Linked DNA regions of Macaca fascicularis. Each later gene encodes a partner of the first gene's protein in a complex. Links are inferred from orthologs where the notes say so. Each region holds a gene or a part of one and is shown in the gene's direction. Other genes may lie near its edges.

Region 1 (4,303 bases):
CCAGCCTCTCCCGCGACACCTTGGGACGAACAGCTGTCCTGCCCGCCTGTGCGGAGGTGGCCGGCGTGGGGGCACAGGGATCCCCAGGGTGTGGGGCAGCTTGGCCGGGGCGAGAGACTCGGTCGGGCTCAGCCCATCCAGTGTCAACCGGGGGCATGCTGGCCCTCCCTCAAGTACCACTGAGTGCCTCCTGTGTGCAGGAAGGGGGCCATCTCTGCCCCGGTGGCCCCGAGGTGCAGGTGGGCAGGCGGCACCCGACACACAGGGCATCATGGCTGAGAGGACGTCAGGCCAGGTGCCAGAAGGGTCCCAGGAGGGCAGGAGGGTCCCAGGAGGATCTCAGGAGGGTCCCAGGAGGATCTCAGGAGGGTGCCAGGAGGGTCCCAGGAGAGTGCCATGAGGGTGGGGATGTTCAGCCTCCACTTCTTCGTGTGTGACTGTCTCTCTCCTCTCTCTCACTTGCCAACTCTCTCACCCACCCCATCCCGGCTGTCTGGTGGGCTGGGTGGGCTGGGTGGCTAGGGACACAGGCCTCATGTCACCTGGCACCAAGCAGCCCCCACACTCGGCCTGGCTGTGGCCCAGAAGCAGAGCCTTGGGAAGCACCTGTCTCAGAGCCGGAGACTGGGGGCACTGGGGGCACAGCCGCACCCGAAGCTTGAGGGGTCGGGGAAGGAGGCAGCCCCGGGGCAGAGGGCTCTGGTGCCTGTGCGAAGGCACTAGTGGGCTCTGGGTCTCCCTGTGACCCCAATCTAAAGCCCACCAGACCTAGAGGAGACCCCCCCACCCCACACTGCTCCCCAGGGCACGGTTTGAGGGTGGGTGGGAGCCCCACACCTTCGGGTGCCTCTTCTAGTTTTCCCTGTCAGTTTCCTCAAATGCAGACCAGGGAGAGGAGTGCCCGAGTCTCCCAGAACGGCCCCCAAGCCGGCCGGCCCCTCCCCACGCACTCAGGGGTCCCTGTCCAGGGCCCACGGGCGACCCAGCAAGGGCTCCTGTGACCTTTAGAAACACGCTTTCATTGTGGGAGTCTTCAAACCTACGGAAAGCAAGGAGGCGCTGGCCGTGGCGGCCTCCCGTCTCCCAGGCCCGCGTGCACCCTCCCCGCGCCGGTGCCCTCCGGGCAGAGGTGGAAGCCGCGGCGCGGGAGAGGCGGCCTCGGCCGGGCAGCGGGGCTCCGTGACCTTGGGCGCGTCCTTACACGTCGCGGGCCTCAGTTTCCCCTCCTGGGGAGAGGCCCGCGCGGGGCTCCGAGGCCTCGGGCCGCGTGACCTTGGGGCGCCCCGGACCCCGCGGCCCGAGTTTCCCGGCGCCGGGCGGAGGCGGCGCGCGGGGAGGGGGCGCAGCCGGGCGGGACTCCCGCCCCCGCCCCTCCCCCGCCGCGAGGCTCCGCCCCCCGCGGCTCCGCCCCACCCCGCCCCCGCCTCCCCCCTCCCTCGGGCTCCGGCCGGCGGCGGCGGCGGCGGCTCCGCTCCGCACTGCCCGGCGCCGCCTCGCCATGGACGCGCGCGGGGGCGGCGGGCGGCCCGGGGAGAGCCCGGGCGCGACCCCCGCGCCGGGGCCGCCGCCGCCGCCGCCGCCCGCGCCCCCCCAACAGCAGCCGCCGCCGCCGCCGCCGCCCGCGCCCCCCCCGGGCCCCGGGCCCGCGCCCCCCCAGCAGCCGCCCCGGGCCGAGGCGTTGCCCCTGGAGGCGGCGGACGAGGGCGGCCCGCGGGGCCGGCTCCGCAGCCGCGACAGCTCGTGCGGCCGCCCCGGCACCCCGGGCGCGGCGAGCACGGCCAAGGGCAGCCCGAACGGCGAGTGCGGGCGCGGCGAGCCGCAGTGCAGCCCCGCGGGGCCCGAGGGCCCGGCGCGGGGGCCCAAGGTGTCGTTCTCGTGCCGCGGGGCGGCCTCGGGGCCCGCGCCGGGGCCGGGGCCGGCGGAGGAGGCGGGCAGCGAGGAGGCGGGCCCGGCGGGGGAGCCGCGCGGCAGCCAGGCCAGCTTCATGCAGCGCCAGTTCGGCGCGCTCCTGCAGCCGGGCGTCAACAAGTTCTCGCTGCGGATGTTCGGCAGCCAGAAGGCCGTGGAACGCGAGCAGGAGCGCGTCAAGTCGGCGGGGGCCTGGATCATCCACCCGTACAGCGACTTCAGGTACCGCCTCCGGGAGGGCCGGTCGGCGCGAGGGGGCCCGGGGAGCCGGCGCGCGGGGGCCGTCCTTGGAGCGCCTGGGGAGGGCGGGGCGGCGCGCCCGGCCGGTGACCTCGGGGCTCCTCGGTGACCTCGGGCGTGTCCAGGACCCGCCCCGGAGTGACCCCGGCGCGCGAGGCTCCGCCTCTGGGGGGCTCCCGGGGTGACCCCGGAGCGCCCCCCTCCCACGCACCCCGACATACTCCGCCCTGCGGCGCGGCGGGTGGGGTGGGCCGCAGGGCCAGGGTCTGAGCGCCGAGGGGCGCAGAGGACGAATAGAGGGGAACGTGGGCCCCAGAGAGGCGGCGGAGCGGAAGGGAGGAGGAACGAAGGGCGCCCGGGAAGGACGCGCCTGAGGGAGGCCGGGGGAGAGGGGGTTAAGCGGCTCCCACGGCGTCCACCCGCGCCCCGCCTGCGAGGAGGCGCGCCCGGAGCCGCGGGCCTGGAAAGCGTGCGGGTCCCCAAGCTGTGTCTCCAGGAGCCGCTCCACCCGAGCCGCGGGCGGTGCGCGCATGTGGCGGTGGGTGTGTAGATACCGCTGTGGATCAGCCGGCTAATGCGTGGAGGGCTCGGAGCAGGGCCGGCGCGAGACCACCGCCGCCGATGTTTGCGTTCCTGGTTCCCGGGCTGTGCGTGCTGTGGCCGGAGAGTGAGACCGGCGCGTGTCCCCGTGGGCTGTGTGTGAACAGGGGCGCGTGACGGCGGCGGGGTTCCCGGGGCGCAAGCCTGTGGCCCGGGAGGTGTGTCTCCAGGGGTGTGTCTGCGTGGTGGTCGCGAGCGTGTGTCTGCGTGGTGGTCTCGGGCGTGTGTGCCCCGGGTGGTTTTATCGTGGTGGGACGTGTGGTTCGTATGTGTTGGGACCAGGTGGCGGGCGTGCGTTGTGCGCCCGGGGCCGGTGTGCACCGGTGGGCAGTAGTGTGAGCCGTAGGCAGGTCTCACACGCGCGACCGTGGACGGCTGCGTGTGTGTTTGTCCACGAGTGGGGTGTGAGGTGGGTTGTGGAGGGTGTAGATGGGGCCCGCCGGGCGGGCGCGGTTTCAGCACCACGGACAGCGCGCCGGGCCTGGGAAGGCTGCGATTTTCCCGCCTGTCTCTCCTCCTCCAGGCCTGGGCACCCCTGAACGGCCCCCATGGACCCTGGACCCCCAGAACTGGGCAGGGAGGCTGTGGGAATCTCTCTTCCCTTGACTTCTCTGCACCCCTAGTGATTGGCTGGAGAAACTGAGGCCTGGGGCACACACGTCCTGGACAGCCTGGAGGAAGGCCCTGGAATCCTCCTCCCACCCCAGGTCTTCCTGAGAGAACACAGCTTTGACCAGAAGCCTGGATTTCGAGACCGGCCAGGGGTGGAGGAGCCCCAAAACCCCCAGAAGGGCTGTGTCCGGCCCCTCCCACCCCGCCTCCGTGCCCCACTGGGAGAGCTTGGTCAGCGTCTGGGCTCTGGCCTGTGAAATGCGGACAGTGAGCAGGAAGGACTGGACTTCCAGGGCTGCTGGTCGGCCTGGCCCCACTTCCAGTCGGGCAGTGGCACCGCCTGGCCGGAGAGGGACGTGGTGGGGAGGGAGCTGCAGAGAGCGCCCACTCCCCTTCTTCGTCCCCTCCAGCATGACCGCCGACAACGATGGGTGCACCACAGTGCAAGGGCTGGCAGGTGGAGGCCCACGTTAACCACTCCCTCCCCTGGGCAGTTCCAGTGACCCCCTGGCTGCAGAGGGGCAGTCGGTGTCCTGGGGGGCAGGTGGGCTGATGGCTGATCCTGGCGCTTGGGGGGAAGGCCGGTAGGAGGAGTGAAGCCCCTCATCCTTCCACCCACCTTGCACGCAGTCACCTGGAGGCCCGGGCAGGCCGGGGCCCCGCTCTGTGCTGTGAGGTGTTGAGGGCTCAGAGGCCCCCTGTGTGGGCCAAGTGCGGCGTCACCCAGGCAGACGAGTGTTGAAGTGGAACTGAGCAGGCAGGGAATGGGGTTAGCGGGGCCTGTCTTCAGGACTAGGGGAGTTACAGCAGTCAGATTTTAAAAAAGGATTTCGATGTTGCCAAGCTGGGTGCACGCGGCCCCTATGACCCTCCCCAGGCTTGGGACCTGTGCCCCTTTTCGACTGTCCTGAATCAGTGTGGAAAAAGACCCCCAGAAATATCT
Region 2 (3,805 bases), on another chromosome or scaffold:
GATTGGGGAAGGAGGGATGATGTTTGAAGAGTTCTACTAAGAGGAATGACAGCAATGGTTTCTATTTTAGAAAAATCCTTCTCTGGTGGATTTACGGAGAAAGGAATAGAGGCAATGAGACCAGTACAGAGATCCAACAGTGACAAGGGGGATAATGAGAAAGAGAGAGACAGGTTCCAAAAACTATGAAAACAAGACTTAGAAACAGATAATATGTATATGTGAGCAATGGGGACATGTAGAATGTGCCAAGCTCCATGACAGAAGATGGAAGAGGAGCAGGAGTGAACTATTGAGTTCAGCTTTGAACCTGCTATATTTGTGGAAACTTGGGACTTCTCTGTGGATACCTCCATTAGGCTGTTAAGTATATAGGTCTAGAACTGGAGAAAAAGAGCTGAGTAGGAAATGGAGATTTGTAAGTCAGAAGCTTGTGTATGAATGGATATTGGAACCATGGGTGTAGATGAGCTCTTCCAGGGATAGACTGTAAAGAAAGGAAAGAGAACCACGCCATTGCTCAAATTAGTGGCATACACAGGAACTCCTTTCCCCTGCCATCCCTCTTTGAGGTCTGTCTTTGGAGGGAAATTTTATAACTATCTCTACTATTTCCTCACCATCTAGGTTTATTCAGTTTTACAAATAAGTTAATAACATGTATAGATTTAGATAAAAATATATTAATATATTGATTGGGTGCAGTGGCTCATATCTGTAATTCCAGCACTTTGGGAGGCCAAGGCAGGAGGACTGCTTGAGGCCAGGAGTTTGAGACCAACTTGGACAACACAGTGAGATCCCATCTCTACAAAATTTTAAAAGTTAGCCTGGCATAGTGGCATAAGCCTGTAGTTCCAGCTACCTGGGAGGCTGAGGCAGGAGGATTGCTTAAGCCCAAGAGATTGAGGCTACAGTGAGCTGTGACTGCACCACAGCACTTCAGCCTGGGCAGCAGAGTGAGACCTTGCCTTAAAAAATAGAATATATTAATATATTACGATATAACACAATAAGCATGCAGATGATGAACACTTATTTCTCTGCTTCTGAGAAAATGTCCTATGAAGAAGTTGTAAAAGTATTTAGTTTAAAAGCACCTTTAAGAATAGCAGTGTTGGCCAGGCGCAGCGGCTCATGCCTGTAATCCCAGCACTTTGGGAGGCTGAGGCGGGTGGATCACCTGAGGTCAGGAGCGTGAGACCAGCCTGACCAACATGGAGAAACCCTGTGTCTACTAAAAAGACAAAGAAAAATTAGCTAGGCATGTTGGCACATTCCTGTAATCCCAGCTACTAGGGAGGCTGAGGCAGGAGAATTGCTTGAACCCGCGAGGCGGAGGTTGCAGTGAGTCGAGATCGCGCCACTGCACTCCAGCCTGGGCAACAAGAGCAAAACTCCATCTCAAAAAAAAAAAAAAAAAAAAAAAAAGAATAGCAGTGTTATTCACAATAGTAAAAAGGTGAAAACAACTGAAACGTATCATGAGATGAATGGATAAACAAAATGTAATATATACAGACAATGAACTTATTCCGCCTTGGAAAGGAATAACTTACATGCTACAACATGGATGAACCTTGAAGATATTGTGCTAGGTGAAGTAAACCAGGCACAAAAGGACAAATACAGGTTGAGCATCCCTAATTCGAAAATCTGAAATCCTCCAAAATCTGTAAGTGGAAAACTCCACACCTGACTTCATGTGATAAGTCACAGTCAGAACTTTGTTTTATGGATAAGATTATTTAAAATACTTTATAAAATTACCTTCAAGCTATGTGTGTAAGGTGTGTATGAAACATAATTGAATTTCATGTTTAAATGTGAGTCCCAGCCCCAAGATATCTCATTATGACATATGCAAATATTCCAAAAACCAAGAAAAAAAATCCCAAATTTGAAACACTCCTGGTCCCAAGCATTTTGCATAAGGAATAATCAACCTGGATTGGAGGATTCCACTTGTACGAGGTACCCACAACAGTCAAATTCATACAGACAGAAAGTAGAATAAAAGTTACCAGGTTTTTGCTGGGGGAATGAAAAGTTTGTGTTTAATGAGTAGAGTTTCAGTTTGAAATGATGAGAAATTCTGGAGATGAATAGTGGTGATGGTTACACAACAGTGTGAATGTACTAATGCTACTGAATTGTACACTAACATATGGTTTAAATGGTCAATTTGTTATGCATTTTTTACCAGAGTTTTTAAAAAGAAGGGGAAAAAAGACCTTAGAGAACATCATCTGCAAACTGATCTCTTTTTTCAGACAGAGTTTTGCTTTGTTGCCCAGGCTGGAGTGCAGTGGCGCAATCTGGGCCCACTGCAACCTCTGCCTCCCAGGATCAAGGAATTCCCCTGCTTCAACCTCCCAAGTAGCTGGGATTACAGGCATGCACCACCACACCCCGTTCATTTTTTTTTTTTTTGTATTTAGTAGAAAAAGGGTTTCACCATGTTGGTCAGGCTGGTCTCGAACTCCTGACCTCAGGTGATCCACCTGCCTCTGCCTCCCAATGTGCTGGGATTACAGGCGTGAGCCCTTGCCACCTGGCCCAATCTTTTTATACGCTAAAAAACTGAACCCCGAGATTGTTTCAGTGGTTTATTCACAGCCACACACCTGTAATGAGAGAGAATCTAGCCAGATTTTTTTTATCTATAAGAACTAAGCCACAGGGATAAAATGGTTCCAGGATTCCCTTGGCTGTCCTCATTGCCTCCTTTCTCTCTCTCCCCATTATAAATTCCCTCCTTTGGTGAAAAATTACATGCTTTATTCAAAAGCTGTGAAAGTGTTCTGATTTATCCCCACCTCCTTTTAACAATGAAGCTCATCTCTTTAAACAGAATTTCTTTCTGGAATCATGCCAGCAATGCCCCCAAACCCCTGCTTTAGCCAGAGACTGACAGGGTAGTGCTCCAGATGTACATTCTACACTGGATTGCACAGGCTCATGTACAAGATTCAGAATGTACACAGCTTCAGAAATAAATTCAGGTCAAACAACTTGATTGCATTAACTGTAAAAGCAATGCAATTTATCTTAATAGGAGATTTCTATTTAGCTGTACAAGTTTTAATTTTTATGCAACATTGAAAAGATAAAGGTTGATCTTGGGGCTTGGGACATTGGTTGAATGAAGCTCACTTTGATAAGATTTTTCAATCTTAATTAAGCTCTCTTTTTCTCTCTGCACCACATGCTCCCCCAACCTGCCTCACCCGCTTCCTCTGTACTTACTAGACATTCAAACACAACTGGAAAAATGGGACGATGTTAAGTTTCATGGCGATCGAAATTCCAAGGGACATCCAATGGCAGAGAGAAAATCATGCTCATCTAGAACTGGATCAAAAGAGCTCTTATGGTAAGGTATTTTGATACCAGAAAATGGCCATTTATTTATCAACTTTATGAGTGGCACTGAAATAGCCAGTGAGTTAAGTCAATCCAAATACTTGGCATCACATGTAACCCCTATGTAACAATACCAATTACTGTGGCTTCTACCAATTCGAATTATTTCATCTCAACTGTCAAAAATTAATTCAACTCAGTCAATAAGTGTTTTGAGAGATTTGTAATTCAACATTGGTAATAACGTTCTGAATGTGTAACTGTGCTGATTAGTAAAACTAGGTGTATATGTGTATATACATGAGAATATTCAATATATTAAATAATAGTTAAATTTTTGCAGTTATAAGGTAGCTTTTTTGGTTTGCTCAATCATCTACTATCAGATAATCAAATAATTCAGAACAGTGCATGGAAGCTTACGAGAAAATCTGGCCAC

What was found.
Region 2: the proteins of HCN2 (region 1) and PEX5L are in contact, whole or in part, in a crystal structure (PDB 4EQF), measured with the Mus musculus proteins. The link is inferred for Macaca fascicularis from reciprocal best matches to the Homo sapiens genes HCN2 and PEX5L. Residues at the interface, in NP_032252.1 of Mus musculus: Leu859, Ser860, Ser861, Asn862, Leu863; in NP_001156988.1 of Mus musculus: Glu315, Glu317, Val343, Asn347, His426, Asn453, Arg454, Ala457, Thr458, Ala460, Asn461, Tyr472, Arg484, Tyr487, Asn488, Ile491, Ile494, Ile537.

What each region holds. Positions count from the first base shown.
Region 1 is NC_088393.1:1,143,496-1,147,798, forward strand, and holds the start of HCN2 (potassium/sodium hyperpolarization-activated cyclic nucleotide-gated channel 2), read left to right. Parts: upstream 1-1,438; 5' UTR 1,439-1,498; coding exon 1,499-2,130; intron 2,131-4,303. UniProt on the Homo sapiens protein: Hyperpolarization-activated ion channel that is permeable to sodium and potassium ions. Displays lower selectivity for K(+) over Na(+) ions. Contributes to the native pacemaker currents in heart (If) and in neurons (Ih).
Region 2 is NC_088376.1:91,655,569-91,659,373, reverse strand, and holds part of PEX5L (PEX5-related protein), read left to right. Parts: intron 1-3,252; coding exon 3,253-3,376; intron 3,377-3,805. UniProt on the Homo sapiens protein: Accessory subunit of hyperpolarization-activated cyclic nucleotide-gated (HCN) channels, regulating their cell-surface expression and cyclic nucleotide dependence.